4 linked regions of the Saccharomyces cerevisiae S288C genome follow. Changing the gene in region 1 together with any one later gene gives a genetic interaction. Each region holds a gene or a part of one and is shown on either strand. Other genes may lie near its edges. The genes, in order: RPN4, ADD66, IRE1 and ASF1.

The links.
Region 2: mutations in RPN4 (region 1) and ADD66 impair growth when combined (synthetic growth defect), as found in Saccharomyces cerevisiae (6 studies listed by BioGRID, with this or other methods).
Region 3: mutations in RPN4 (region 1) and IRE1 together harm fitness more than expected from each alone (negative genetic interaction), as found in Saccharomyces cerevisiae (7 studies listed by BioGRID, with this or other methods).
Region 4: mutations in RPN4 (region 1) and ASF1 together harm fitness more than expected from each alone (negative genetic interaction), as found in Saccharomyces cerevisiae (5 studies listed by BioGRID, with this or other methods).

The regions. Positions count from the first base shown.
Region 1 is NC_001136.10:413,724-418,565, forward strand, and holds RPN4 (stress-regulated transcription factor RPN4), read right to left. Parts: upstream 2,986-4,842; coding exon 1,390-2,985; downstream 1-1,389. Other genes in the region: phosphoglycerate mutase family protein GPM2, read left to right, coding at 230-1,165; oxysterol-binding protein related protein OSH2, read right to left, coding at 3,940-4,842. UniProt on the Saccharomyces cerevisiae protein: Acts as a transcriptional activator of a number of genes encoding proteasomal subunits. Binds to a PACE (proteasome-associated control element) DNA sequence 5'-GGTGGCAAA-3'.
Region 2 is NC_001143.9:48,506-55,789, forward strand, and holds ADD66 (Add66p), read right to left. Parts: upstream 1,305-7,284; coding exon 501-1,304; downstream 1-500. Other genes in the region: ER membrane complex subunit EMC3, read left to right, coding at 1-450; Ran GTPase-binding protein LOS1, read left to right, coding at 1,546-4,848; EAP1 (Eap1p), read left to right, coding at 5,199-7,097. UniProt on the Saccharomyces cerevisiae protein: Involved in 20S proteasome assembly. Required for maximal proteasome activity. Affects the chymotrypsin-like activity of the proteasome. Can be degraded by the proteasome. Involved in the endoplasmic reticulum-associated degradation (ERAD).
Region 3 is NC_001140.6:255,322-265,339, forward strand, and holds IRE1 (bifunctional endoribonuclease/protein kinase IRE1), read right to left. Parts: upstream 6,271-10,018; coding exon 2,923-6,270; downstream 1-2,922. Other genes in the region: NMD2 (Nmd2p), read right to left, coding at 1-316, 430-435; YHR078W (uncharacterized protein), read left to right, coding at 1,039-2,697; SAE3 (Sae3p), read right to left, coding at 6,871-7,033, 7,120-7,232; LAM4 (Lam4p), read right to left, coding at 7,480-10,018. UniProt on the Saccharomyces cerevisiae protein: Senses unfolded proteins in the lumen of the endoplasmic reticulum via its N-terminal domain which leads to enzyme auto-activation.
Region 4 is NC_001142.9:192,270-199,927, reverse strand, and holds ASF1 (nucleosome assembly factor ASF1), read right to left. Parts: upstream 3,642-7,658; coding exon 2,802-3,641; downstream 1-2,801. Other genes in the region: YJL114W (gag protein), read right to left, coding at 1,333-2,013; SUN family protein NCA3, read left to right, coding at 5,055-6,068; PHO86 (Pho86p), read right to left, coding at 6,462-7,397; YJL118W (uncharacterized protein), read right to left, coding at 7,630-7,658. UniProt on the Saccharomyces cerevisiae protein: Histone chaperone that facilitates histone deposition and histone exchange and removal during nucleosome assembly and disassembly. Facilitates histone deposition through both replication-dependent and replication-independent chromatin assembly pathways.

The sequences.
Region 1 (4,842 bases):
CATGTTGTTATCACCCCACGACGAAGATAATACGGAGCTCACCGTTTTCTTTTTTTTTCCCTTTGGCTGAAATTTCCCACCAGAACAAACGTGACAAAATTATCTTTGAATCCAAAGTAGCTTATATATATACGTAGAAGTGTTTCGAGACACACATCCAAATACGAGGTTGTTCAATTTAAACCCAAGAATACATAAAAAAAATATAGATATATTAACTTAGTAAACAATGACTGCAAGCACACCATCCAATGTCATGACATTGTTCTTGTTAAGGCATGGACAAAGTGAATTGAATCACGAGAATATATTCTGTGGTTGGATTGACGCTAAGCTAACCGAAAAAGGTAAAGAACAAGCTCGTCATTCTGCCGAGCTAATCGAACAATATTGTAAAGCTAATAATTTGAGATTACCCCAGATTGGTTACACCTCACGTTTAATTAGGACCCAACAGACCATAGAAACGATGTGTGAAGAATTTAAGTTAAAGCCACAACTGCAGGTTGTTTACGACTTTAATAAAATCAAACTTGGAGACGAATTTGGCAGTGATGACAAGGATAATATGAAAATCCCGATTCTTCAAACTTGGAGGCTAAATGAACGTCATTACGGTTCCTGGCAGGGCCAGAGGAAACCGAATGTTTTAAAAGAATATGGTAAGGATAAATATATGTTCATTAGGAGAGATTACGAGGGTAAGCCACCACCTGTAGATCTTGACCGTGAGATGATTCAACAAGAAAATGAGAAGGGCTCTTCTACTGGGTACGAATTCAAGGAGCCAAACAGACAAATAAAATATGAATTGGAATGCAGCAATCATGACATTGTATTACCGGATTCCGAATCTCTTCGTGAAGTGGTTTATAGATTGAATCCTTTTCTACAAAATGTCATATTAAAATTAGCCAATCAATATGATGAATCTTCATGCCTGATTGTGGGCCATGGAAGTTCAGTGAGATCGCTACTGAAAATTCTGGAGGGTATATCAGATGATGACATCAAGAATGTTGATATTCCAAATGGTATCCCCTTAGTCGTTGAATTAGATAAGAATAATGGTCTTAAGTTTATCAGAAAATTCTACCTAGATCCTGAATCTGCTAAGATCAATGCTGAGAAAGTCCGTAATGAGGGTTTCATAAAAAATCCTTAAGGGGGGTAAGTATATAATATAATTGTGTATTTTCCGAAGTATAATGAAAACCAATAGAAAACTTATTATAAGTCCAATGAGGTACTTTAAAAATGTGATATTTATAAGAACATTCCTGAATGCAGATATATGATATATATTGTAAATATATATAGATGTGTATATGTATTTCCATTTTGTGTGAGGTTTTCTTCTTTTATCTCCTATATAATTTGTAACCTTAATTAACCCATGACATAACCAATATTAGCCTTTGCAAATTTTGTAACTTCTTGACGTTGTTCTAACGACAAATCTTCATGCTTCGATTTTATATGCCTTGTTAAAGCATCCAGTCTCGAAAACGTCTTCTGATAGCCCTCAGATCCAAGAATTTTTATACACTCCGAGCAACGGAAGACAATCTTCCTTTTAGCGTGAATGGTATTTTGGTGTCTCGTTAAATCATAGGACCTTGAAAATTGGGCACCACACGGTTCATTTGTAATGAGATTCATTATCTGACACGTAAATATTTCGTTATTACCGTCAGAAGATGACGTATGGGCCGATGGTGATGCAGTCGAAGGTTTCGAATTCGAATTTGTAGATGAATGTGAAGATAAGTGCTTCTTAGTATAATTAATTAGCTTCCGCCTACTAGCATTTGAGCTTACTACAGCTGATGTAGGCTTCTTTATTCTTTCTAATGTGCCGTTTTCATTACTGTTACTAACGCAACTACGGTTACTGGATGATTTTGCTGGTTTCCTTTTACCGGTAGTAGCAGTAGACGGTACGTTTGCCGAGGTTGAGGGAGATGGAAATCTTTCAAAATCAATAGTGTTTTTATTGAGGACAAAACTTTGCTTTCTTCTGTTCTTCAAGAGAGAGATATCGTAGATATCGTCTTCATCAAGATCATTATCCTCATCCTCATCCTCTATCTTCTCATGTCCCCGTTCATCTAACAGATCTTCAGATACAACACTGGAAATGCTGTCCATGTTAGAGTCAACGTAACTGTACTCATTAAATAAATGACTAGAACTCTTGGCACGACCCGTTTTTTGATCTGAGCCAAACATTGAGATTGGTGTAACATCCAATGACAGTAAAGGCTCCTCTTGGTGTTGCTCTTGTTGCAAACAATTTTCTTCTATTTCATCCTCTTCATCATCACTGATATCGTCGTCATCAGAGTCAAATTCATTGTTAAAAATAGCTCTCGCATCCTCATTGTTTATTGCGGCGCTATTATCTTGAAGTGACCACTGCATTTTCGGATTATAATTATCCTCATAGAAAAGCACTTCTTCATCATTACCATATAGATTGTCACCGTTATCGAAAAAATCGTTGGAAATTTTAACATCATAATTGAACGTATTCCGTGTCGGTACATACGGGTCTGATACTTTCATTATATTCTTTAGATTGACGGTCTTCTGCAATGGGGTTTCGCTAGCACCCTTAATCTCGTTTGGTATGAGATGGACATTATTAATCTGTCTATCGTTGGCCGTTGCTTCACTAGTCGTAAAAGAGGTGGTGGTAGTTAAAGTAGGATCCGCGTATTTGTTGAATATCGGGAAATGGTAGGTTTGTTGTGGGGGTATCGAAGCTGCACTCGATTCATTCTGGTGTTGTAATGAATGATTCCACGTAAAAGTGTTGTTTTCCTTGTTCTTATTCACCAACTTATATGGAGTAATACTAGCATTTGGATGATAGTTTTGATAATGACTCGTAAACTGACTGTGACCTGGATTAGTATGGTACAACTCGTCTTCTAAAATATCCGTTAAGGTTCTTTTTAGGCTAAGTTCCGTAGAAGCCATGATTGCTTGAAAATTCTAGAAAACTTTTGAAAAGATACAAATTAGCTATTAGTACTATCTACTATTAGTTCAACTAAAAAGCGGAGTTCTTCCTTGAGGAGAAAAGGATGAACAAAATGGAACTGATCTACTCCTTAAATATTCCACGCCAAGAAGAAAAAAGAGTTTCGGGTTTATCTTTAATTTATATTAGAGATAAAACGTATCCTCCTCCTTGAACGATAAAAAATTATCCGTGTGGGTTAGGCTGCTCATCCCGGGCTTTCCCCAAATTGGGCTTCGAACTATTCTTTCCTTATATAGAATTGCTCTCCTCAACAAGTTTCGCCGAAACGGAACTTTCTAGAACCATCACTGTAAACGGCTATTAGTAATAGCGATCACGTGATTATCCGTGGAAAGGTTCGTACGGGCTGAGGCACCTTTCTTTGAGTTCCACGGAACTTGTTATTACAGGAACAGAAAGGTAGTAAAAAAAGAAGTAACGTCCTCTCAGTGCATATAGTTTGATCTCTATAACAATCCGTAGTTGGTTTTCTCAACAATTAATATTGAATACGTTAGTGATGATTGGTTTTCAACCTCTGCCGCTAATTTAGGCACAGTTCTATCGCAGCCGTAATGGAGGCATTATATAGCACTTTAGCGTCGTAACGAAGGGTTATGGTAACCGCCTAACGATTTTATTTACTCGCTTGTTGCTTGCTTTGTAATTGGTTATATGGATTTCAAAATAATATGGTCATCTGACCATGGTGACATAACCAAAGTGTTCGAAAAGATAACTAAATTGATACATCTAGGAAAACTGAAGGAAATCCCTATTGTTAAGTAAACATACTATATATGCCAAAAGAAACAAATGTGCGGTAGAATAAAATACAATTCAGTACAATAAAATACATTCAAAATACATACAAGTACCAGGAAAAAAGCTCGCATAAAAAAGGCGTGTTAAAAAATGTCACCACAATCTTTCAAATCATGATCTCTTCTTTTAACCCAATATTTGCCCGTATATCTCCAATATTTAGCTTTTGTGATGGGATGAGTATCCCTGACGAACCATTGTGGGTGATATTCAAGGTTATTTTCCTCCCTTTTTCTGCGTGCTGCTCTTTGCTTTTCTTCAACTCTGAATTTCTCATCACCAGCTTCGTCATAACGCCCATCTTCCATTGCTCTTTGATCTGGTCTCAAACGTGTATCTGTGGGGGGTAACCATGGCAATAGATGTGGTTGTGGAGCATTCAGCGTGATAGCAAAAGGTGTTAAATTGAATGGCTCCTCAGGACGGTCGTTTGCCTTCCATATTAAAAACTTCGTTCCGTCATCCGTAGGCCCATTCCCTGCTGATGCAGCGGTTCTAGTTTTCTCCAACGAGAGATCGCCATCTTTTACTACTTTCTTGGCAAAAATAGCTTCATTCCAGTGTCCTCCTAGGATCCACACCTTCTGTTTTTTCTTGTTGTAGACTTCGCCTGTGATTTCATATGCTCCTGATGACCTCCATCCCCTTGCTTTGAAATACAACTTGCAATGATCACCGGTTGTGTGATTGACAACGTTCACTTCACCGTGGTTATCAACTTGTGGATTACCAATGAGAATACCTATAACAGTATTGTTGGGCTTCTTCCAAGTATACAGTTCCTCTTTTTCATTGTCATTTGGACGCAACTTAATGTGCCATAATCCTAAGTGCTTAACATTGAAAGATCTGCCATTGAATTTAGTATCAACAAATGATTCACCCCAAAAGTCCCATCTTGGTGATTCAGTCCATGTTGCAGATATAGGAGGGTGATGTGAAACCTGCTCGGTGAAAAATCTGTACTGTTTATCTGGTCGAGAATA
Region 2 (7,284 bases), on another chromosome or scaffold:
CCCTTCAACGATCCAAGTATGTCTAATGCTATGATGAACATGGCTAAGGGTAATATGGCCAGTTTCATCCCTCAAACTATTATTATGTGGTGGGTGAACCATTTTTTTGCTGGATTTATTCTTATGCAACTACCTTTCCCTTTGACTGCCAAATTCAAAGAGATGTTACAGACCGGTATTATCTGTCAGGACCTGGATGTGAGATGGGTTAGCTCCATTTCATGGTATTTTATTTCTGTGCTCGGGCTAAATCCAGTCTACAACCTGATTGGGTTAAACGATCAGGACATGGGTATTCAGGCCGGGATAGGTGGCCCTCAGGGCCCCCAAGGCCCTCCACAATCACAGGTTGACAAAGCAATGCATGCGATGGCTAACGATTTGACTATCATTCAGCATGAGACTTGTCTTGATAACGTTGAGCAAAGGGTTTTGAAACAGTATATGTAAGTTCGTGGCTATATATGCACTTGTATAGAAAACAGATATACTTCTCGGTTTCAATTGTATAAATCTACAAATTTATCTCTTGCATCCGCCATTCCGTATGCACCTTGCCATGATATAGGCCTGACAAACTTTACAATTGGTGGCGCGTTTTTGATAACTTTTTGAGAGATTATCCATTGTAAGAACTGTTGAGAATCTAATGAGTTGTCCCCCTCATTGGCCAAACAACTACAGTACTTAATGCTGCGGAGGGCTTTAGGCCTCTGCGACGCATTCAGTATTTGGAAAAGTATTTTGAAGATCGGCTGATCAACGGATATCTTGTCTTGGAAACTGGTAGGAGTAAAATGTAACCAGTTATTGACCATCGACTCTTGATCGTTTAGATGGAGGTTCGATAAAAGCTCAGCTTCATCGTCGAAATAAAACTCTCCGAGCGAATATACCTCCTGTGGACGTACAATCACACCATTTTCATCCTCCATTGCATATAGAGAGTCCCAAATGCATATTTCCGATATATTATACTTGCTCAAGAACGGCAAGATGATCTCTACGATGAAATTATTCAGATAGTTAACGGACACGAGTGGTGTTCGTTGCTGTATGGCAAAAAGTCCTCGCTTCTTATTGTAGAAAACTTCCAAAGCGCTGCTATACTTCATATCAGCGTCTTTATATAGCGAGTCGCTACCATCCTCTGGTCTGTCTAATGGTCCCACAAATTCCACTAGGTATTTCGAATCTAACGCCTCCAAATATTCCCATTCATTTGCTTGTGAATTCAGCAGCCAGTCAATACTCAATTGTGGTATATTCCCTACGCTTACTAATGGCAACACCAGGCAGCTCATCGTATGTTCCTTTGGGTTTTGTGCTATTCTTTCCTGAAGTTTTAATTTAATTTCCTTATTTTAGTGTAGGTGGCTTTTTTTTTAGCAGGTTACTCATTGTGGGATCATTTTCAGGCTCAAAGCGAAAAATTGAAAAATTAGCTAACAAAAAAAAACTAAAATTTTTTCAAATTCCATCAGTTAGTTTGAGAAGTTGTCGGTAAGCAACCTATAGAACAAGTGTTTCCAGTCAAATCGAGGAATGCTAGAACGGATTCAGCAGCTGGTAAATGCAGTGAACGATCCACGCTCAGATGTGGCCACTAAGAGACAAGCCATCGAGCTGCTAAATGGGATTAAATCATCAGAGAATGCATTGGAAATCTTTATATCATTGGTCATCAACGAGAATTCAAATGATTTGTTGAAGTTTTACGGACTGTCCACATTGATAGAATTGATGACGGAGGGCGTGAACGCTAATCCAAATGGTTTGAATCTGGTAAAGTTTGAAATAACCAAATGGCTCAAATTTCAAGTTTTGGGCAATAAGCAAACTAAGCTGCCTGACTTTTTAATGAATAAGATTTCTGAAGTGCTGACTACTTTGTTTATGTTAATGTACAGTGATTGTAATGGAAACCAGTGGAACAGTTTTTTTGACGATCTGATGAGTCTATTCCAAGTGGATTCGGCTATTTCCAATACGAGCCCGTCTACCGATGGTAACATTCTTCTAGGTCTTGAATTTTTTAACAAGCTCTGTTTGATGATTAATTCGGAGATTGCTGACCAAAGCTTTATTAGGTCTAAGGAATCTCAGTTAAAAAATAACAATATAAAAGATTGGATGCGTGATAACGATATCATGAAATTGAGTAATGTGTGGTTTCAGTGTTTAAAACTGGACGAACAAATTGTGTCACAATGTCCCGGATTGATCAATTCTACCTTGGATTGTATTGGGAGTTTTATCTCATGGATCGATATTAATTTAATTATTGATGCAAATAATTATTATCTGCAATTAATCTATAAATTTTTAAATCTTAAAGAAACCAAAATTTCATGTTATAATTGCATACTGGCCATCATCTCTAAAAAAATGAAACCAATGGACAAACTGGCTTTTCTGAATATGATCAATTTGACCAACGAATTGACTTACTATCATCAAGCCATATCAATGAATCCCCAAATTATTACATTTGATAATTTAGAAGTCTGGGAAAGTTTGACCAAGTTGATTACTTCCTTTGGCATAGAATTTACTATCATTATTGAACAAGTCAACGATGATCAAAAATTGGATACATTATACAAACAATCGGTCATTTCAAATGTTGATTCCATATTATTGGAGAAAATAATACCAATACTTTTGGAATTTATGAATAATGAGTTTGATTCAATAACAGCAAAAACCTTCCCATTCTGGTCAAATTATCTGGCTTTCTTGAAAAAATATAAAGCATCTTCACCAAATTTTGTACCATTGCATAAGGATTTTCTAGATAATTTCCAACAAATTTGCTTTAAAAGAATGAAGTTTTCAGACGACGAGGTCACACAGGATGATTTTGAGGAATTCAACGAAACCGTAAGATTTAAATTAAAAAATTTCCAGGAGATCATCGTGGTAATTGACCCAAGTCTGTTTTTAAATAACATTTCTCAAGAAATTTCAGCAAACCTAATGAATTGTAAAAACGAAAGCTGGCAAATTTTCGAGCTAACTATTTATCAAATCTTCAATTTAAGTGAATGTACCAAGAACAACTATTTCGGTTTGAACAAGAATGAAATTATGACCTCACAACCTTCGCTAACTTTAGTACGATTTTTAAATGAATTGTTAATGATGAAGGATTTCTTATTAGCCATTGATAACGAACAAATCCAAATACTATTCATGGAATTAATTGTGAAAAACTACAATTTCATATTTTCAACTAGTGCTAACACAGCAAATGCTACTGATGATGATGAAAAGTATCTATTAATATTGAATATTTTCATGAGCTCATTTGCTATGTTCAATAAAAGAGAAAACGTCAGACTAAGGTCATGGTATTTATTTACAAGATTCTTGAAGTTGACAAGAATCAATTTGAAAAAAATCCTCTTTGCCAACAAAAATTTGGTTAATGAAATAACTAATAAGATAAGTCCTCTACTTCACATAAAAGTAACATCTATCAACGCCCAAGGGACGGATGACAATGATACAATTTTTGATAATCAGTTGTACATATTTGAGGGTATTGGGTTTATAATCACATTGAATAATAGCAGTCAGGAGCTCACTGCTGCCACTGCCAACACCCCCATCGATTACGATATATTGGACCAGATATTAACTCCGCTATTTACACAATTAGAGGGTTGTATTACCCAAGGAGCTTCGCCAGTTGTGATTCTGGAATGTCATCACATTCTTATGGCTATTGGTACTTTAGCGAGAGGTTTGCACATTGGTCTCGTCCCTGAGAATCAGGTCAACAATATGGTTGTCAACAAAAAATTAATCAATGACTCTTTAATCCATAAATTCTCTAATATAGCTGAGGTTATATTAGTAACATTCTCTTTTTTCAATAAGTTCGAAAATATCCGCGATGCATCTAGGTTTACCTTTGCCAGGTTAATTCCAATTTTAAGTAATAAAATTTTACCATTTATCAATAAATTGATTGAATTGATCTTATCGTCCACAGATTTAAAATCATGGGAGATGATTGATTTTCTTGGGTTCTTATCTCAACTGATTCATATGTTTCACACGGACACAGACTGTTATCAGCTGTTTAACCAGTTACTTACTCCGCTTATCAACAAAGTCCATTCTATTATCGAAGAGATTGATGAACAACACGACCAACAATCAAGCAGTAACAAACCTATAGACACTGCAGTCACAGCCACCTCCGTAAATAAGAATATCGTGGTCACCGATTCGTATAGAGATAAAATACTATTGAAAAAGGCTTACTGCACATTTTTACAGTCATTTACTAATAATTCCGTCACTTCGATACTATTGTCAGATATAAACAGAGCAATCCTGCCGGTCATATTAAACGATTTGGTCACCTATACGCCGCAAGAGATCCAGGAAACATCAATGATGAAAGTGTCACTCAATGTATTGTGCAATTTTATCAAATGTTTTGGGAATGGGACCTGCTTGGATAATGACGACATCAATAAAGATCCCAACCTTAAAATAGATGGTCTCAACGAATACTTCATCATGAAATGTGTCCCAATAATCTTTGAAATTCCGTTCAATCCAATATACAAGTTCAATATCAAAGAAGGGAATTTCAAAACAATGGCATATGATTTGGCAAGATTACTGAGGGAGCTATTTATCGTCAGCAGCAACCCCACCACAAATGAGAATGAATGTGTAAAATATTTAACTCAGATCTACCTTCCACAAATCCAATTACCACAGGAATTGACGATTCAGTTGGTTAATATGTTAACCACAATGGGTCAAAAGCAATTCGAAAAATGGTTTGTAGATAATTTCATTTCTGTTTTAAAGCAAGGTCAATAGCTTTCAGGCGCAGAAAACCTGAAAATAAAAAAAAAATGCAAAACGAGAGTAAAAGTTGTAATTATATTTATACTAATATTTAAATTGGTAATATGTAATTAGACTTATCATTCACTTTGGTTTAGCAGCTAGTCATGTAATGGCACTAAAAGTGCTTCTTTATCTATTATTTATACGTGACATACCATTACTTCTATGTATTACGTAAAGAATGACAAACGTTTAGTTTTTTTAATTTCAAAGAAATCGTTGGAAGGTTCAAAAAGGATCAGGTGAGATATTAGAGTATATGAATGTTTCAGTCTCTAAGCTACACAAAGAACTAGCATAGTAGGACTTTAACCCATACAATGGAACTCAACGACCCTTCAATTATATCAAGCAGCCAGTTTTCAGGTGAATTGTCTGACAGCGATACTGCAGCCGCTACTCACAAATCGCAACAAGCCATCTCAAATTTATTCCAAAAATTAGCCAAAAAGGGCAGAGAAGAGAAGCCAATCGGTAGCGTAGAATCTTCAACTGATAGCTCTAACATTTCTGTTGCTACGAGCGGTAACAATAAAGAAAGCAATAAAAAAAAAAATAAGAAAACGGCCATGCTAAATTTCAGCAGTTTGACGGACCCTATAACGAACTACAAACCAATGGATCTGCAATACAAGACATATGCATACTCCATGAATGAACTTTATCATTTGAAACCATCTTTGGCAAGTGCTTCGTACGAAGAAGACCCACTTATTTCGGAACTTGTGAGGAGTTTACCCAAAAGAAAGTTTTGGCGATTGCGCATGGGACCTCCAGATCAAAAGCATGCTAATAACCATCATTTTAATGGGAACAATGGTGGAGGCAGTTGGAAGGCTGGTTACAAGAATGGGAAAAACGATGAGAGAAGAATGAGTAGAACCAAAAACATGCAGGGAGGCAAACGAAGATCTCAACAAGATGATGAAGAAAAAAAGATTGACCAAGAAATGCTGGAGATGGACAAGAATCTTCAATTAGGAGGTGACGTCGGCCATTCAATTGCAGATTTTGAAGATTGGAAGGCAAAGATGAAAGAATTAGAATTGAAAAAACTTTCAAAATCTAAAGGAATCAGTAACTCTACCGCAATTGCTCCCAGGGAAAGCGCCTCTCATGAAACACCCACCGATTTAAGACCGGTCATTCCAAGGGGCCCTAGTTCAATAACAGATTTTTTGAATTTAAAGAGGCAAGATAAGAAGGAAGAATCTTCACAACAAACACCTGGTATTCCTGTTGGACAGCCAAGCCTATCCAAAACCAGTATAGAACAAGTTAACGAATTAGAAACTAATTCAGATTTGGGTAAAAGTTCATCATCTCGGTTTTCATCATTTTTCAATAAATCTGCCACTTCGTTGCCTTCATTAGATAATAATAATCAAGTGCCATCGTCAAACGTGTCTGTAGTAAACAACGATGGCAACAGTACACCTCATCAAAGTGGTTCAAGACTGATGTCGTTTTTCAAAGAATCTAGATCGAGCACTCCAAATGCAGAATCGCAGTTGTTATCAGCCTCAGACAAAGATAATGGAAAGATGCAGACTCTTCCGCAATTCCAGCAGCAACCGCAACAAATGCAACCAATGGCATTTACCCAGCATCCTCCTAATAACAACGCATTTTTCAATGGGCTATTGAATAAAGGTAAAAGTGAAACTAGTACTCCTCCTCCTCCACCCCCAGGACTAATTGCTCATCAGGGTCCACAATTTCCTGTGATGGGTGTACCACCAAATTTTCCACAACGCATGATGCCACCGCCACCAGGTCTCGTTCAATTCCAGAAAGATTCTAAAGATGTAAATAAGAAGGAAGACAGGCAATTAAGGCAAAATAAAAATCCAAACGGAACAAGAAATAGCAAGGGAAAACAAGAGGAAACAGCAACGCCAGATCTGCCTCAACAGCAATACATGCCACCACCCCCACCTCCAGGGTTTTTTCCAATGCATCCTAACTTTCCTAACGGCCCAATGCCACCATTACCACAGGGGTTCCCAATCCCACCAAATGGTATGTTACCGGTAACAGGACAACAGCCACAGCCACCTTATCCAAATATGATGCTACAAGGAAATTTCCCCCCTAATTTCCAGCAAGGTTTTGGTAGTAACTCCCCTATGCCAATTCCATCTATTATTAATGCCAATGGCAAAAATGTTACAAACCAGTTACCACCAGGATTAAACTCTAAAAAGAATATAAAATGAGATGCGTAACGAGCGAGTACTTGACAGGAAACGACAAAAACACAGTGAACATACTATCTAAAAGCATGTTCTTTTCCTTTTCATTTTTCATCTTTATTATCTAGAGTTTGTATATAACATGTATCCTATATTATCTTATCCTATCATCATCACTTAACTTGTTATAATTCTCCCATATACTTATGTT
Region 3 (10,018 bases), on another chromosome or scaffold:
ATCGGCCATTGAACCTTTGATGAAGTCCACTTATGATCTCAACAGCGGCAATTACGTCATCATTTTTATTCAAAACATTTAGCAGACATTCTGTTACCGTCACTATTATCTCTGATAGGTACTTTTCCAAGGACGCCTCACTTAAATCTTTCAATAATGAAGATTCTGAACCTTTCACAAAACCCTTCTTTAGTTTTTTTATAAAGCCAGTGTTTCTCTTTATACTGGAATCCAGTTTTTTACTTTTCAGGGGAAAGACTTCTTCGCCATTCCAAGCTCGGGTGTTCAAATCATGCAATTCTTTTTTCCGTCCATCCTGTTGATACATAATTGTTACCGTAGTTTACAACGATCAATAAAAGAAGTTAGTATAAAACCTTAGAAGTACTGAAAGGCCGATCTGGCCACAGTAAGATAAATCAAACATACGTCCATAATTTCTGTCCAATGTATTATCAATGCAGATACAATATTAGATTATTTAAGCATTTAAGTTGATTGTTACTGTTCATTGTAAAGTAATATGGGCCTCATTAGTTTCTCAAACCTGTATTCGAATGCAGTTTTTCAGTGACTGCCAAGAAAGTGAAAAAAAAAAAAAGAAGCAGGCTCCATCAATTCGTATCAAGTGATAATTATCACATAAATTATATAATTGTAAACCTATTAATAACCCTAATATCATCCTCATGCCCTAAGAAATATTCAATATAACCCCCTAACAATATCATAATATCCCGTAGTGATCATAGAAACGCTATATGATGGTGCATAATTAAGATAAAGGTCATTCAGGCATGAAATAATGAACTTTAGTGAACGACTTAGTCATACAGAGTCTATTTTAGCTTAACCATTCGGTTTTATTTTACAGTCTAGACTCAAACGAGTGAAAAATTGCGATATCTGCGATGACCGAGTCCTGAACAATAAAAATTGACCAGCAGGGAAAGAAAAGGAAAAGATCTCAACTCTGGCGGTTGCCTCCAGGACCTGCACTAGAAAGGACTATTGAGTGTAGACTAAGTGGTGGACGGGATGGAGGCACTTATCGTATTTATAGTGCTTTCCGTATCCGGAGCATTTGCTTACAAATGCTCCTATGAAAGGCTCTGGTTTAAAGTAGGGTCTTTGTTTGACATTATATCAACTTCCTCGAAGAAAAATGTCATTCCGTTGGCAAGCAAAATGGAAGTTGGCTCGAATGAGGATGTGTCTAGTATGGGTAATTTCATAAATAAATTCTACACAGAGTATTCTTTACCCTCACATAAGGTACTGCAATCACTGCGAGTCCTTTTTTCATTAGCAATGATGACGTATACAGTAACCATAGAGATTATTCTATGGCAGATTAAGGTTGCTGGAATGGACAAGGAAGTTACTTTCATAACGACTTGGGTGTGGCCTCTGACTGCAATCATGCTATCCTTCATACTAATTTTATTTCAGCCCTTTTTCATTATAATATCGTTACTGAATAAATTCTACAATGACAAGTTCGATATCGATAGGTTGATAATAGTGACATGCATAATCTTGTCCACACTTATTGCGCTGTTAAGTTACATAAATATTGGACCGTTCCAGTACACAAAAAATATTCTAACTAGATTGTCCATCGGAGGCGTCACAGTCATGGCTTCCCTATCTGGGTTAGCCACTGTTTCTAGTTTATACTACAACTTTTTAGTCATCTGGCACAAGTTTCGTAATACACCAATGTCAGACCCCAGTTTTAGAAACATCAACAACAGCAACAATAACAGTAAATCTCTCTTATGGACAACAGACGCCTATATAGAGGAAAAAATCCAAGATTATGAACACAACATTGAACAAAATGTACAAATATTAAGAAGTTTAGAAGAAGAGGTCGGAGAAAACTCAACTTTTAAAGCAGAGTTGATGGAAAAAATCGCCTGGTATCAACTGGAGCTTGGGAAATTGGAAGCATTATTACAACAGTCCCCTCAGGTACGCACTTTTAAGAAAGCTTTTGAAGTCGGGTTTATCATATACTGTCTTCATAAACTAATAATAACTTTCCTGAAAAGAATCCCCTATATCATATACCACTCGCTCAAATATCCAGATGACTACGATTATGAAAATTTTAGTGAAAATGCAGCATCCGATCCTTTAGCCATTACGATAGCAAATATTTTGGATTTTTCGTTTTTCAGGTTCAATTACCAGCACGATCTCGATTCGTTAACAAAACAGATATCGTTATTTTTGTCAATTTCTCTCTTTCTTTGCTGTCTTTCTGCTGTCAATACCACCATCTCCTACGTTGTGACCCTTTTGCCCATAAAGTTCCAGATTCTTGCACTTTTCGCCATGCAGAATGATGACACTGCTAATGTACTTCCAGAGTACACCAATAACTCTTCCTATAAGGGAAAAAAGAGAAACTATTCTCAGGAACAAAAAGGAATATCTTTGATAAAAAATCTGGTGGTGTCAGAGTTGACTGGCGTCTACGTTTTGGCTACAACGCTAATGGTTAGGTCCCATCTCCCTTTTGAAGTATCACAAAGATTAAAGGAGCTATTGGGTGGAAAGTTTACCGTCCCAAACATTGTCATAGATTCTTGGTTTGATGAAGTCTACGCTTTTGCATGTGTGTTTACCTTTATTTGCATAAGAATTGCAGAACGAAAGCTTTCCACCAAAAAAGTCAGTGTTGAATAACTGGAGTAGTATGTCGATGTTCGATGTTTATGAGATATGTATTTATAAAATTAAATGTCTGTCGGGTAGTTTATGTAGGGATGAGAAAAGTAGTATAGGTTCATGAAGAAGTACAACTTTTTTTCATTTATGCAAGGGCGTAAAAATTATGGATGGTTACTACTAATGATCAAAGTAACATTAATGCAATAATCAACCAAGAAGAAGCAGAGGGGCATGAACATGTTATGAATACAAAAATTCACGTAAAATTTGATCGTCACTTAAATTTTCCTTGACAATCATATAAACACCTATTAATAGGTTTGGAAAACGCTTGGTGAAGTAATCGTAAAATCCATCGGGTACCGGCCCCATTAGTTCTGCTATATCTTCAGGTAAATCCATAAAATGATGATATTTATTCCTAAGTGCTCTTAATAGATCCATTAACTTTGATGAATGGTATTTTCTGTACCTTTCAAGGTTGTCCATGAATGTTTTATCAAACTTGACAGTCCAATCTCCACTGGGTATTACAAAGTCAGAACCGGCGTCAAATTTCATTAACAGGGCACTTGGAGGGTCTCTGTTTTCAATTTCAAGCCTATCACTAACTTTTAAAAGGAACTCCAATTTTTTCGACTTTGGCCAAAACAACGGATGCCTTAGAACTTTCATAGCAGTAGGTCTTTTTAACGGATCGTGATCAATCATTTGGGAGATCAGATCTGTAGCTTCTGCAATTAAGGATCTATCATGTAGACATTTCATTTCATCAAGACTGAATATTCCTCTTATGATATTGCTTTCACGTGAATATTTATCTCCAAATGGATGCTTCCCTTTGGATAGGATATAATAGAATACACATCCCATAGAAAAAATATCAATAGATCTTGTTAGCCTCCTCTTGGTGAACGGATCATAAAAAGAATCAGATGAAACTACTGTATGCCTACTAGAAGAGTGTTCCGTTTCGACTTGGCACTGCAAATTGTTTGATTCTTCAAGCAGCTCTGGGGCCCTCCAACCACTTGTGCCAGAAGGGTTATTCAAATTTGTTCTAAATGAAGACTGACCAGAGTCTAGTTTTTTGCAAAGACCAAAGTCTGATATCAAAATTCGAAGATTTTCTGCTCCTGTTTGCTGATCGGCAGTAAACCTACTCGAAGTAGAAACGAGAATATTTTGAGGCTTTAAATCTCGATGGATAATCTTTAAAGAATGTAAATGTGCTACCCCGGACGCTATTTGTCTCAATAACGAAATTGGATTATACTCTTTCTGTAATTTCAGGTTTTCATCTGATACATTCTTAGACTCCACCAAATCTTGAAGGTTCAAATTGCAGAGCTCTAAAGCAATATACAAAAATCTGTCTGTTGTTTCTGAACAGTAGTATCGTATGACGTTAGGGTGATCATCGCTTTCAGTCAAAAGTTTTATTTCCATTAAAGCTATGTCACAAAAATCAATTAACATTCTCTTTACCGCAACAGGTCTTCCTTGAAAACTTCCCTGAAAAACTACTGTTCCTGATGAACCGTAACCTAAAATTTTTTCGGATACTACCAAATTTTTTAAAGATTGCTCAAAGTTTGGTATATTTGCAATGCGTGATTTTCGGCCCTTTTTGCCTCCTCTCGAACCTCTTTTCCTCTTCTTCTTTTCTGTGGTTAAATCTAGTGATTTTTCATCATCTTCATCAGCATCATCGTTATCTTTTTCAGATTTTAGACTTCCATCGTTCACAGCACCTTCAAAAACAACTTGCTTCCCTGATTTCATATCGAATGGCTTGGTTACATTTTCCGATGAAGAGGGACAATTTAGCGATTTCGACTCAACTATGGGGATTTCCTTTTCAGGCATAAATCCAATTTTGGATAATAATACATATAGTGGCGGCAAAATTTTGAATCTTTGTAGTATTGCACAAAAAATGAGAAATAACAACAGAAATACTCCAGTCTCTATAATTCGATATACTAGACTTCCAAACTTCAGTAGCAAAGAATTTTGGTTCTTTTCATCTAATTCTCTCGATATTTGCTCGTGTATCTTTTTTCTATATGCCTCAAGGTCTTCTGGTGACATGTATTCCTTTAGTGAATTCATCTCGTTATTCTGATGTAAATCGGTTGTATCAACGGACGAATCAATCATCAGAGGTGGATATTTGTGCGTAGTGTCCAAACTATTCGTTTTTTCATAGTTTTCATAAAGGTGATCATATTCATTATTATATATCTGATGAACACCCATGATTGCGTTCTTGAATAAAGTCTCATCTTCAAAAATTGAAGACACCCTCCAACGGTCACTGGAAGCGTATCTTGATATGGGAGCTGATTCGACTAAAGATGGAAAATTCTGACTAGATAATGCAAACCAGGAGAGGTTCGAAGTCTGATCCAAGTAAACTTTGTTACTCGATATACTTTCATGATCACCAGGATTAAAGGGATGCGGTACCAGTATATTTTCATTGGTGCGGAGATCATTAAACACATCGAAAAGCCCAACAATAATTCCGGGGAATGTCGGAGAAACCCATCTAGCAATTCTAAAATCTAAATCGCTTGCTAGCAATGATTTATCACGGAAAGGCGCTATGCACATGCCGTCCTTTGAAAATGTATTCTGAAGCGCTAGGGGAACATCTAAAACATTTTGCTGCCATGTAGAGTAAGTGACATTGTAGCTTGCTCCATCATAAGAGTGAATTCCCAGCTCAAAAATAGTTTTGCCTATTACAATCATATTTTCACATTCCTGAAGTTTTATCTTCTCCTCAGGTGAGCAATCCACACTCTGGCTCCCGAAATACCCGTTTTTTGAACCAGGTCCGAACGCTGATATAATTTCACCATTCAACATGTTTATAGTATACATTATAGTTCTCATCGATCCAGTGTAGACCTTTTCATCTTCAACAATTTTTCCAGAGTCATTAACCACAATATTTGTTTTCAAGTGCAGCGGGGAAGTTGATACAAGTTGTCGTATGGATAAAGGCAGTTTTTGTAACCCTTGATGGGCGTTAAAGTAGTAAATGTTCCCATCACCGAAAGGTTCTATAATCAACGTTTCATATGTTTCTAACCTCGAAGGTTCTTGTATTTCTATCAGAGGTTGAAAATTTTCTGGTTCGATTGACCATATGATATGACCATTTCTTCTATCTACAGCATGAAGTCCACCCTCAACGTCGGCTGCGATTAGTATATCTGATAAACTCAGTTCGTTCAAGGAACGATTCTCCAAATAGGGTACACTTATAGAATTGGCAGCCCTACGTCCTTTTTTGTTAGCACGTCGATTATCAGCAGTATTCAATAAGTTAGGAGTTGGATATGAGCTGAGTTTCATATTTGGTAAACCTTCAGTGGTTCTTGGAGCAGGAATGGGCGAGTTTATATTTTTATCCACACCATAGTTGAAATTGAGCTTTTTAGTGGAGGCAACTTCATCTTCCACTATCTGCCGCCTTGAGGTGCGAGACGACAATGGGATTGAGCATGAAATGATGGATGAAAACACACAAACGAGCAGTGTCAATACTAACATGTTTCTTCGAAGTAGACGCATTTTTCAAAGTGCTAAAATATTAATTCCTCAGATATGCTGTTTTTTTAATGTGTATGAAGGGTGATATGGAGAAAAGTGATAATGGACGTGGGGAAGAGGAAAACGATGCTTTGTGAATGAGAAAAAAAAGTTACTTAGCAGATTACCGATTATTAACAGTGCCAGTTATAGTGTAGATTTAATTGTGTAAAATTAATATTGTTATAGACTTTTCACTGTTAGTTTATGTGAAGTTGGCTCATTGATCTCCTATGATATGTTTTTCGTTTATTTCTTGTTACTATGTGATTAATCTCTTTTTTTAAATTTTATTGTTGGAATAGTCGAAGGTATTGCCCGAAGAGGCTTACGCTCCGTCTTGATTTTCGGCAATAAAATAGCGAAAACCTATTATATAACAGAGGGTAATAAAACCTCAAAACTACAACTATCAATATATTTCACACTACGCAGCTTAATTAGTAACTGTATAATAGCATTTAAGTTCATTACTTCTTTGTAATTTTATCTTTTTTTTTTTTTATATAGTTTTCAGCGCGCAGCAGAGTTTCATTGGAACGCTTCGCACGTTGGAAGAATAGAACTGTCCCTAAAAGCCCATTAGTCCTTCATTGAATAACCGATCTCTTCAAAAACATCCTTAATTTTGCATTGCTTTTCATCAGCAATTATTTGGGCCAACCTTAAACCGGCATCTCTCAATTCGTTGTACTCCTTTAACTCTTTAATGTACGTCGAGGAAATTTTTTTTGGTGTCTCATCACTTTGACAAGTTCTGTTAATAACAGAAACTAAATATTTTTTGTTTGTTATACCGATTTTTGCCGACTGGAAAAAATAGCTACATACTTTTTCTTTTCTTTAGACAATTGCTCAAACATCTTTATCAGGTTGCCATTCATACTTTCGTATTCCTGTATCTGTTTTTGCTTTTTATTTAACTGTGTTTCCAAATAGTTCATACTTGCAAGTTGTCTTCTGTTTATGGCAAGGATAAGACCATTGCTTTTAATTTAAAATTATTCTTATACTCTGTCTTTGCATTTATGAAGCAGAAATAGAATAGCCGCCATTAGGCAGAACAATTCCGTCTGATGTGATAATGCAAAGTGTGCCTGTCATCTAACTTAAAAGGAATCAGGCCAACCGCTACAGGATATGTACTAGATACAATTACTAAATAATACAAACAGAATATATAAAATGCTATTAAGATAGATCATTTGCGTCCCTCTCAATGTTGTCCAACATAGTTTTCATATGATTTAGTTGCATTTCTGTTATTTTGATACTTTCTGATAATTGCTGCAATTTGTGTTCGTCATCGTTTCTCAACATAGCACGACCTCGAGGTGATATTGCACTCCCTCTGTTACTGATCCAATCCCAAATATCGCTTTCCCTTCCTACAATAGGACTCTTATCCCTTGCGTAATTTACATTTTCTCTCTTCTTCTTAGATGATATGGCGTTTTCATATGAGTTATACAGTGTGCCGAAACTGGGCACGTAATTATATTCTTGACCATCAATCAGCAGCCTTCCTGGCTTGATGATTTGAAGATTATTTTTTTCTTGAAACACGTGAAGCCGAGGAGACCAGAAAAGCATAATGGTCAACCCCAAGATCAAGAATAGTTTTTGAGGACTCAGCAATTTGTTCATAAAAATTTCTGAACTAAAATTATTCTGAACGAAATCCAAAATATGAGTTAAAATGTCTTTATTATCATCGCTCTTACGGCTTTCGGAACTTTTCTGTTCAACCTTACTATGGAAAGGCCTATGTTTATCATGACTCTTCATTACTTTCTTCACCGGTTTTTTGCTTTTTGCCCTGCTAATAATGTCTCTTAACTCGGATAGCATGTAATCGACAGAAACCTTCTGACCCTCAACAGATCCTTTCTCAATTGCACCTTTCAAAAATGATTTACTTGTCCAGTTGATTTTTGTTATAACGGTCATATTCGTGGTGTCATGCTGCCCCCAGAATAGAAAGATTTTACTTTCTACTGCAAAATTGCTACCAGAGGGGACGTCTGGAGTTTTAGTTGTTTGTGTCACCAAAACATAGTTATTGATATCCATGTGTTCAATAGACTCGGTTAGTAAACATTTTGTTTGCTTAGGTCCGATAGAATTGTTCAATTTCTTCGTGTACTCATAGTGTCTTGAACCTCCTTCAACCAACGAAGGCGTGAATTTTGGTATCGTTTCCACATTGACATTATTCTTATCTCTAGTGATAACTTTCTGCATATACTCTGTATTCGATCCAAATAGCAATTGGACCACGGTCCCTAATGGAGCTGGTATATTCTCATTTTCCCTTATAATAGAGTCATCCTTATCCTTTTGAATATCAGGCTCGGTAGGTGCATGTGAGCTAGGTTCCATTTTCGGTAAAGTTGATACTGTAACAGTGTTCTCCTTCGAAGACCTTTTCCTTTTGGTAGCAGATCTTGTTAAAATATTACCAAGCTCCTCCACCAATATCTTTGTTGCATCCGTTACACCATCAAATGTACCCTTTTCAATAGGACTTTTGATCAAGCTTTTACCTGTCCATTCAACAGAGACATACAGTTTTAGTTTTGTTTCATTGTTGTTTGCCCATGATAAAAGATAAACTGTTCTCACATAAAATGAATTTCCAGAAGGAACATCCGGAGTTTTTGTTGTTTGCAAGACTTGAACATACTCCTCTAAGTTAAAGTGTTGAATGGTTTCAGTTATCATGCATTTAGTTTTACCGGGTCCAATGGCACCTGGTGTTGTTTTTACGTAGGAATAATCTCTCTTTTTACCTTCAGAAACCGTGGGTGAATCAACGAGAACAGGGATTGGCGAAATATCACTATTCTTTTGCGCTTTTAAAATGGCCATAATATAACTGACATCTTTCCCGAATAATATATTGACAACCCGCCCTAACGAAGCGTGTATTGTTGATTCGTTAACTAATTTTTCATTGGGCGCTGGTTTGTATACTGTTTCTGTGGGTGAGTGAATTTTTGGACCTAGTGGTGGAATTCCTGTTCCATAAGGGGTGTCTGTTTGTAGAGGCATGGGTAAATCTTCCGGCTTTCCTATGCTGACGCTTGATGTCATGTCGGTAGAATCAGATATGTTATTGCTATTATCGTAAAGATCGTCATCATCATCTCCATAATCATCGTAATCATCATCGTAATCGTCATTTTCATCATCACTGATAGAATTGGAGCTGCTATTAGTGTTATTACTGTTGCTACGAAACCTCTTTCCCAAAATTATTTGATTCCATACTTCAGTAATTAAATCATATGTAGCATCTCTTGAAGTGAAAGAGGCAAACGTGTATTTTGTGTGTAAAGTGTCTATAACGATCCCATTAGGGAATATTCCTGCTGTGGCCCTTTTCTCTATTTGAACGATTGTCTTGAACGGTATAAAAACGGTACTTACCCAACCAAGGATGTTCGAATAAAATCCAATATGTTGATCAGAAATATACATTCTGCCTTGCAAAAGGATATCTCTTGACAAAGCACAACTATGGTCTAAAATCAACCTTTCATTGGGGCTGACACCAGAGTCCTTGAATATTGCATGGAATTCTGCATCTTTCTTTTCGCTCGCGTATTCGACTCCCTTTATTCTAATGCTGGATTGTCTACCATTTTCCTCCGATGGCTCAATGATATTTACGGGGGTAGATGAAAAGCTTTTACTAGAACTTCTCCTCAATCCCGAAGATGGACGA
Region 4 (7,658 bases), on another chromosome or scaffold:
AAATAGTTTCAGCATTCTTATTGAAGTGTGTGGAGGTCATGCAATATCTCGTGTTGTTATCCACCATAATAAGCATGTACCTTTTAGTGTCCGCGTTTGAACTTGATACAGGGCCAAATATATCCATGCACCATGATGAGCCTGGTTCATGATCAGTACTATGATTATTCATAGACCCGGTATAATGATTTCTTTTCGTGGCTTTAGAGATTTTACAGGTTTGACACCAAAATTCATTTGGTTCTTTGATTAAGTCAAGGGATTCTTCATAATGATTATGTTTTATGGAATTTTCAATTTGTTGAATTCCTGTATGGCCCATTCTTTTATGAGCATCTTCCAAGGTAATAGACCTTTTATTTAGTTTAAATCCAGGAGAAGAAGTAGGTTTTATTGCATTTATTTTTGAATCATCGGAAGGACGTTCAATTAACTCGTTCATTTTTACGTGAATGACACCATTAACTATCTTGGTTTTAATTTTTATGATTTTGTTTCCCAATCTGGTATATTTTCGACTTAAAACCATTTTGGTTTTCTTGGCTAAGTCATAACAGCTGATTATAGTGGATTCTTCTTCCGGTACATAGTAAGTTAATAGACACTTATTGTCAGTATTGTTGTGACCATTCTTGATTTTTATATAGCCATACCCTTTAACAGACACTGAACTGTTTTTCCCAATACCAAAAAATCGTGTACTGCGATTACTGTCTTCGTAATTATGCAGTAAGGTTTTGTCATTGGTAATGTTTACTCCGGAACCGGTATCAATAATTACCAGTTTTTTGCTGTTGTACACTTTGTTCGACCTTTTTTGTGTCTTGTTCCAAGACTTTTGTTCGTTTTGCACTGGACTTAAGTGGTTGTTGTCTCTGTGCACCTTGTAGATAATAGGTTTTTGAGAAATTGGTCGAGTCAGGCCTAAGTTCCCTATTTGGTTTCTTTTTGCAGTTAATTGAGCAATGGAAAACAGATTTGCAATACATGCAGCTATTTTCTATTTGATCGTCTGCAATTGGGCTCAAATCAATTACTGTTTCAATAACAGTATTGATTAGAAATTCTTCGTGATCAATTCCTACGTCATGTGGAATGTTGTACAAACGTTGTTTCACAGAATTTCTTAAGGATTCATGTAAGGTTCCCATGATAGCTTCTTGTAGGTAATCCTTTAGATTAGGACAATCTTGGCAGCATTTAGAAAAAATCCATTTTTCCATTAGTACCAACTTTTGAAGTTTATTCATTAACAATGCGGAATTTCTACATGTTGTATCAACCAAAACCTTTTCCCAGGCTCTAATTCTGACATCTCTACCATGCAAACTTCTATATTTGTTTTTTTAAACCATCGATTATCCTAAAAATGTCAGTTGTATTTGTGTTCATGATATCTAAACTTTCACCGAGTCCTTCTTTGATTATCTTGCACAAGATTTCATTTTCACGAGGATCGATTTCTATGATATCATTTTCAAAGACATCATCAAATTGATATTTCTTGATGAATTTTTTAAAATTGTTTAAGAGAATAGGAATGTTCTCGACATTATTAGTCCTATAATCAAAAACACAATCCTTAGGGTAGAATCTTTTGTTGGTTGAAGTTAACGTATCGAATAAATAGTAAGTCCCTGTAGCATCTATATGTTCATGTAATATATTATTGTTCTCGTTTGTTTCCAATAATTGTATCTTTTCAACTAGATCCACAATCCTATTCTCAACCTTGTCAATGGTTTCTCCGAGTTTTAATAATTTTTCAGCTAGCATCTGAATATCATCAGCCTCAGAAAGTTTTTCCTCTTCTGCCTTTAAACCATTTAGTATGGTTTTAAACCTATTTAAGTTTCTTTGATATTGTCTCACCTGTTCATCTTTAATAGAAACTTTTCTTAATGATGATGGCGTCTGTCTGACAGTATCATTTGTTTTGACTTTCGATTGAATCCGCGCAGAAATGTTGTCGTCAATAACATTTCTTGTTTCACCCCTCACTGGGGTCGCCATGTTGATAATTAGAGGTTAAAAATTAGTATTAATGAAGAAGTGAGTACTGATCTTCTTATACTAAATAAGAGAGGTATATAAAACACACGCCGATTGGTCATATTAATTATGACCAATATAATAGTGATTCCGGTAGTTACTATACATTGATGTGACGACTCATATTCCTCATATATGTACCTACCATAACATGTTCAACTAATAGGTCTTTAACACAGCTTCAGTATTGTCTGAGCTTCTCGTTTAACATTCCTTCTGCAATAGGCGCAATCACACTTAAACGTATACGAGTTGTACATTAATATACGATGTAAGCATTAGATTGTTACCATAGCAACTCATGTCACTATTAATTACTCTCGTTCCAACATGATAATATAACTATTAGTTGATAGACGATAGTGGATTTTTATTCCAACATGTTCGTTCTGTTATGAAGTTGTTTCATATGTGTTTTATGAACTTTTAGGATGACGTATTGTCATACTGACGTATCTCACTTTGATAAACAACAATATCAATAATATTAGGGCGTGTGGCGTAGTCGGTAGCGCGCTCCCTTAGCATGGGAGAGGTCTCCGGTTCGATTCCGGACTCGTCCAATTTCTTTTTGTTCTCAACGACAATAATAAGAAAATCAACTTAAATGGAAAATATTACTGCCTTTTATTTTTTACGTAGCTGTTGCCCTAACCCGACTTTATCTTATGTCTGTTATTTTTTTATTTATACATTTTATAAAGTGTACCTCTCTTGCAGGTACCATTAATCTTATAACCCATAAATTCTTAATTCGTTGAACGTGCCGCATCCTTTGGAGTGGATTCAATATCCGTGGACCCCCCTTCTATTTTCCTCCTCTTCTTATCATTACCATCTTCATTCTTGTCTACAGACCCCACCTCTTCTTCTCCTTCTTCCTCATCGCCGTCACTATTTTCTATGTCTTCCTCCTCTTCTTCAAGATTCGTTTCGTTGTCTTCAGTCTTCTCTTCCTCCTCTTCTTCCTCCTCTGCCGCTTCTTCCGCCTCTCCCTCTCCATCTTCTTGATCGTCATCTTCGTCGTCTTCATCATCTTCATCGTCATCTTCTTCTTCATCGTCCTCCTCCTCTTCATCATCTACGCCGGGCTGTTCAGGTGGGTATAAATCCCCTTCATTTTCATTATCCCAAACAATGTTAAACCTTGTTACCCTTGGCTTTTCAGCCAGTATATTTCTTACAATATGATCTACTTGTACCTTTGCTGGCGGATTTTCTCTTAACTCTTCTTCATCGTACTCATTATTCACGTAGTAACCGACCCTAACAAACTCTCTCCCGTCATAAGAACAACTTAATAGAATAACAGTCACACTAACCAATTCACTCGCAGGAATCAGCTCGGCGGAGGGAGGGTCAGCAGAAAACACAAATTTATTAACACCTACGGGAACGGGGCCTACCAGAATGGAATCCAATTCCTGGTCATGGTCTAGAGAACGAGAGGACCCAACATAGGTTAGTTTCCACTCTAAGTCATGTTTTAAAGATTCTAAGCATTCAAAAGTGATTTCAAACTCATATGGATCAGTGAACTTTGCCGGGTTGTTTAAGACTTTGATGCCTAACAGTGAAACAATTGACATCTTTTCTATATCTTATGTTTCAATTGGATGGTAGGGAGAGTACGCTGTTACACTTTCGAGATTCTGTGAGCCTCTTACCTGTTTGGAGTTATTCCAAGTGTTAGTATTAAAATTGCAAGATTCATTTTTCCATCGTCGGTTGTACGCCCATTACATGAAAAAGGGAACAGATTTACGCGTTTAGGATGAGAAAAAAAAAAAAAGGAAAAAACGCGTAAATGAAAAGTTCTTTGTAGAACAGCTCTCTCTTAAACACATAGTAACAGCAAAAGACGCCACCAAGACAATATCCTGAAAATCGAAATTCTCGCCAAGGCATTACCATCCCATGTAAGAACGGAATAAAACAGCATTCGAAGGTTAGGTGTGGCACAAAGCCGATAAGAAAAAGAAAAGTAGTGAGGACAGGCTTAATTGAGCTAATTAAGGCGAAAAAAGGAAAAGAACTCGATAGAAAAACTTATTCATGAAGGAGACGTAAAGTCAGGCAAGGCTGCGGCATCATGTCTACTTGTCATAACTCAATTTGCCTATTTCTTACGGCTTCTCATAAAACGTCCCACACTATTCAGGGGAAGGCTACACGGAAACCCCAATAAAGGAAACGAAGAAGTGACCTTAGCCTTCGTCATCCGCGCCCACTACTCTCTTCCTAGTCGCCCGGTTGTTGAAAGTTTAATTGTGGGTTTTCTTTCACGACACACCTCACTGAAAAAAGAAACGAGCGGAGGAATAGTATGATAAATCTTCAGCATAGATGGGTAACGGGATCCCTCTGTGAGGGCCGATTATGCAGGCCTAGACCCGCACGTGACCACTTCGAGAGCAAGTTGCCTGCGAGTTTCTCTGCCCGAGGAAAAAGAAATGGAGGCAATTTACTTAATATGGTATGAGAGGATCTTTTGACGGCAAATAGATGCGCCATCTCCGAGAAAAAATCTAGACAATAACAGCGACAATTAACCTAAAGAGGATAGAAGATCGAGCAAAAAAATTTTTTTAATATGGGGTCAGTGGCGATATTATACTATAGGAGTTAAAGAGTAAGTTGAGTGTAAGGTGGTAGAATTATGATTGAACTCCGAAACTAAGCGCCGATTATGGGTGGCAAAGCGGACAGCTTTTGATATATAATCGATCGCTCTCGTAGTTGATATCCTCTCTCTTGCTTATCTTTTCCTGTATATAGTATATGTGTACATACAGATACGAATATACCTCAGTTAGTTTGTTTTAACATTAAATATTCAACAGTTGCCAGTAGCAAAAAGAATATATCCATTCATTTCGAGCTTTTTCGTCTCATTACTGATATCCAACTAACAGTCTCCTCATAGACGGTACCTTACTTTCCTTTAATATTATAATACTAGTATAGTCGCACATACTTAACTCGTCTCTCTCTAACACATAATGAAAATTTCCGCAGCTTTAATATTGTCTTCCCTTTCTTCTGTCGCATTTTCTGCCCCTGCACCTGCTCCAGCGGACAGTCACCATGAAGATCATCACAAAGATGAAAAACCAGCGGTTGTCACTGTCACTCAATACATAGATTCCAATGCCGCTACTAGTACTGTAGAATCTGCTGCTACTACCACTACATTGTCCTCATCTGAGAAGGATACCTCTGAACAGAAGCGTGATGGCGGATTCCAAGATGGTACTGTCAAATGTTCGGACTTCCCTTCTGTAAACGGTATAGTTTCCTTGGACTGGCTAGGATTTGGTGGATGGGCCTCTGTCATGGACATGGATGCCAACACTTCGTCCGAATGTAAGGATGGCTACTACTGTTCTTATGCATGTGAACCTGGAATGTCAAAGACTCAATGGCCTTCTGACCAACCAAGCGATGGTAAATCTGTTGGTGGTCTTTACTGTAAAAATGGTTACTTGTACCGTACCAACACTGATACCAGCGATTTATGTTCTACGGATGAAACATCTGCTAAGGCCATTAACAAAAAGTCTGACTCCATTGCTCTATGTAGGACGGATTACCCAGGATCAGAAAACATGGTGATTCCCACAGTGGTTGATGGTGGAGATTCACAACCAATTTCAGTCGTTGATGAAGACACTTATTATCAATGGCAGGGTAAAAAGACTTCTGCTCAGTACTATATTAACAACGCCGGTGTATCTGCAGAAGATGGGTGCATTTGGGGTACTTCTGGTTCGGATGTCGGCAACTGGGCTCCACTAGTGTTAGGTGCTGGTTCCACTAATGGAGAAACATACTTGTCGTTGATTCCAAACCCCAACAGTAACCAAGCTGCCAACTTTAACGTTAAAATAGTTGCATCCGATGGCGCTAACGTTCAGGGCAGCTGTGCGTATGAAGATGGCTCTTTCACCGGAGATGGTTCCGATGGTTGCACAGTTTCTGTTTTATCTGGATCTGCTGAATTTGTTTTCTATTAAGTCATTCTTCTTTTCGGTAAAAGAATGTCTTGTATTTTGATACCCTCAATTCCCCTTATTATTCTTTTTCTTCCGCTCTCTATTTATTATTATACATTGGGATTCCGTTATATTTTTCTCCTTTCAGTTCATTTTACTTCTTAAAAAGTTTCGTTGATCGCTATTATGCTATGGATTCAAAGATTTTCTTTTCTCTCTCTTCAAGGTGTACTCTGCATTACGGTTTTCTTTAGTTCGTTTATTTTTTTTTTGTTAACAAGGTGTTTGTATACATATATATAAATATATGGAAATATTATAGTGTTTATTTTGTTACTTCCTGCGAGTTGCAACAGAACTAACAAGATGCCATGCTGTTTTTTTTCATTTTTTGGCTATAAAAATAACAGTATCCTAGTCCTTGTGTTCGGCTTTAAAATGGAATTGCAAACCCCATAATTCCTTCTTCACACCGAACAAACCGCCTAGTAGTCGATTTTCAGAGACTCTAATGCTTTGAATATAAGTGAACCCTTTTTTCTTCAAAATTTCCTTAAGCGTGCTATCGAATGAGTAGACATCAATCAAGAGTTTCATGGTCTCCCCGTATTTGCCGCTGCTTCTAATATTTTTGGAGTGTAGCATAGCCCAATCAATCAAATCTTCGATAATGCCACTTTTTACATATACACGACGACAACCCACAGTAGTAACACTCATGACTAAATTTTCATCAGTACTTAATGTCATGTTAGGGGCTAACGAAATCAATGCAATGGGCGTTTCTCTATAAACGATGATATGCGTATTGTTCACCACTGGATCCTTTGTTTCATGTCTTGCCACCAAATCATTCAAATTGATGCCGAAAACTTTCTCACCTTTAGAACCAACAAGTTGGTTGATCTTCGACTTGAAATACGAGTCAGATACACGTGAGAGGAGGGTGAACAAGAAAGATGCACCAATTGCGGTGAACACTAAACCGCTGAGGACGACCTTCTTATTAATACGAGCCAGCTGGTAGAACCATCCAGCAACGGATCCTGTATTCCTTATCGGAAAGACAATTCTTGGCGTCAAGTAAATAAGCAGCCCAATGGTTAGAACAACAAGGATGACGGGATGGAAGAACAAATACTTATTAGCCAATGCCTGTTCTTGTCTGATGAAATCCGCGGACAAATTCAATGCAGCTGTACCATATTCTGGTTTCAAATTAACACTGTAAATAGTAGGAGGAGCATCAATATCAAGTGGTTTGTCTAATGATGCATCTACTTGTGGGACCGATGGGGCATTTTTATCGGACTTTCTACCCTCTTTCTTCTTTCTTTGTTGAACCGCCATTGTGCCACTCTTCCTACTCTTGTACTTTCGCTATGAAAAAATGTGCAACTGGAAGAGTCGTAATCAATCTAGAAAACTTAGTAAAAGTATGTGCTATATATCTATAAACATGAAAAGCTTTATTTGTGTGAGAGAGAAAAAAAGATGTTCTTTGGTCGTTATTCATTATAGTTTCCATAAAGAGCACGTGCGGGCGCGCTGGGTAATGCGGGTGTGAATTTTCAGTTATAGGTCAACTACAACAGCAGGTCGAGAGGGCTT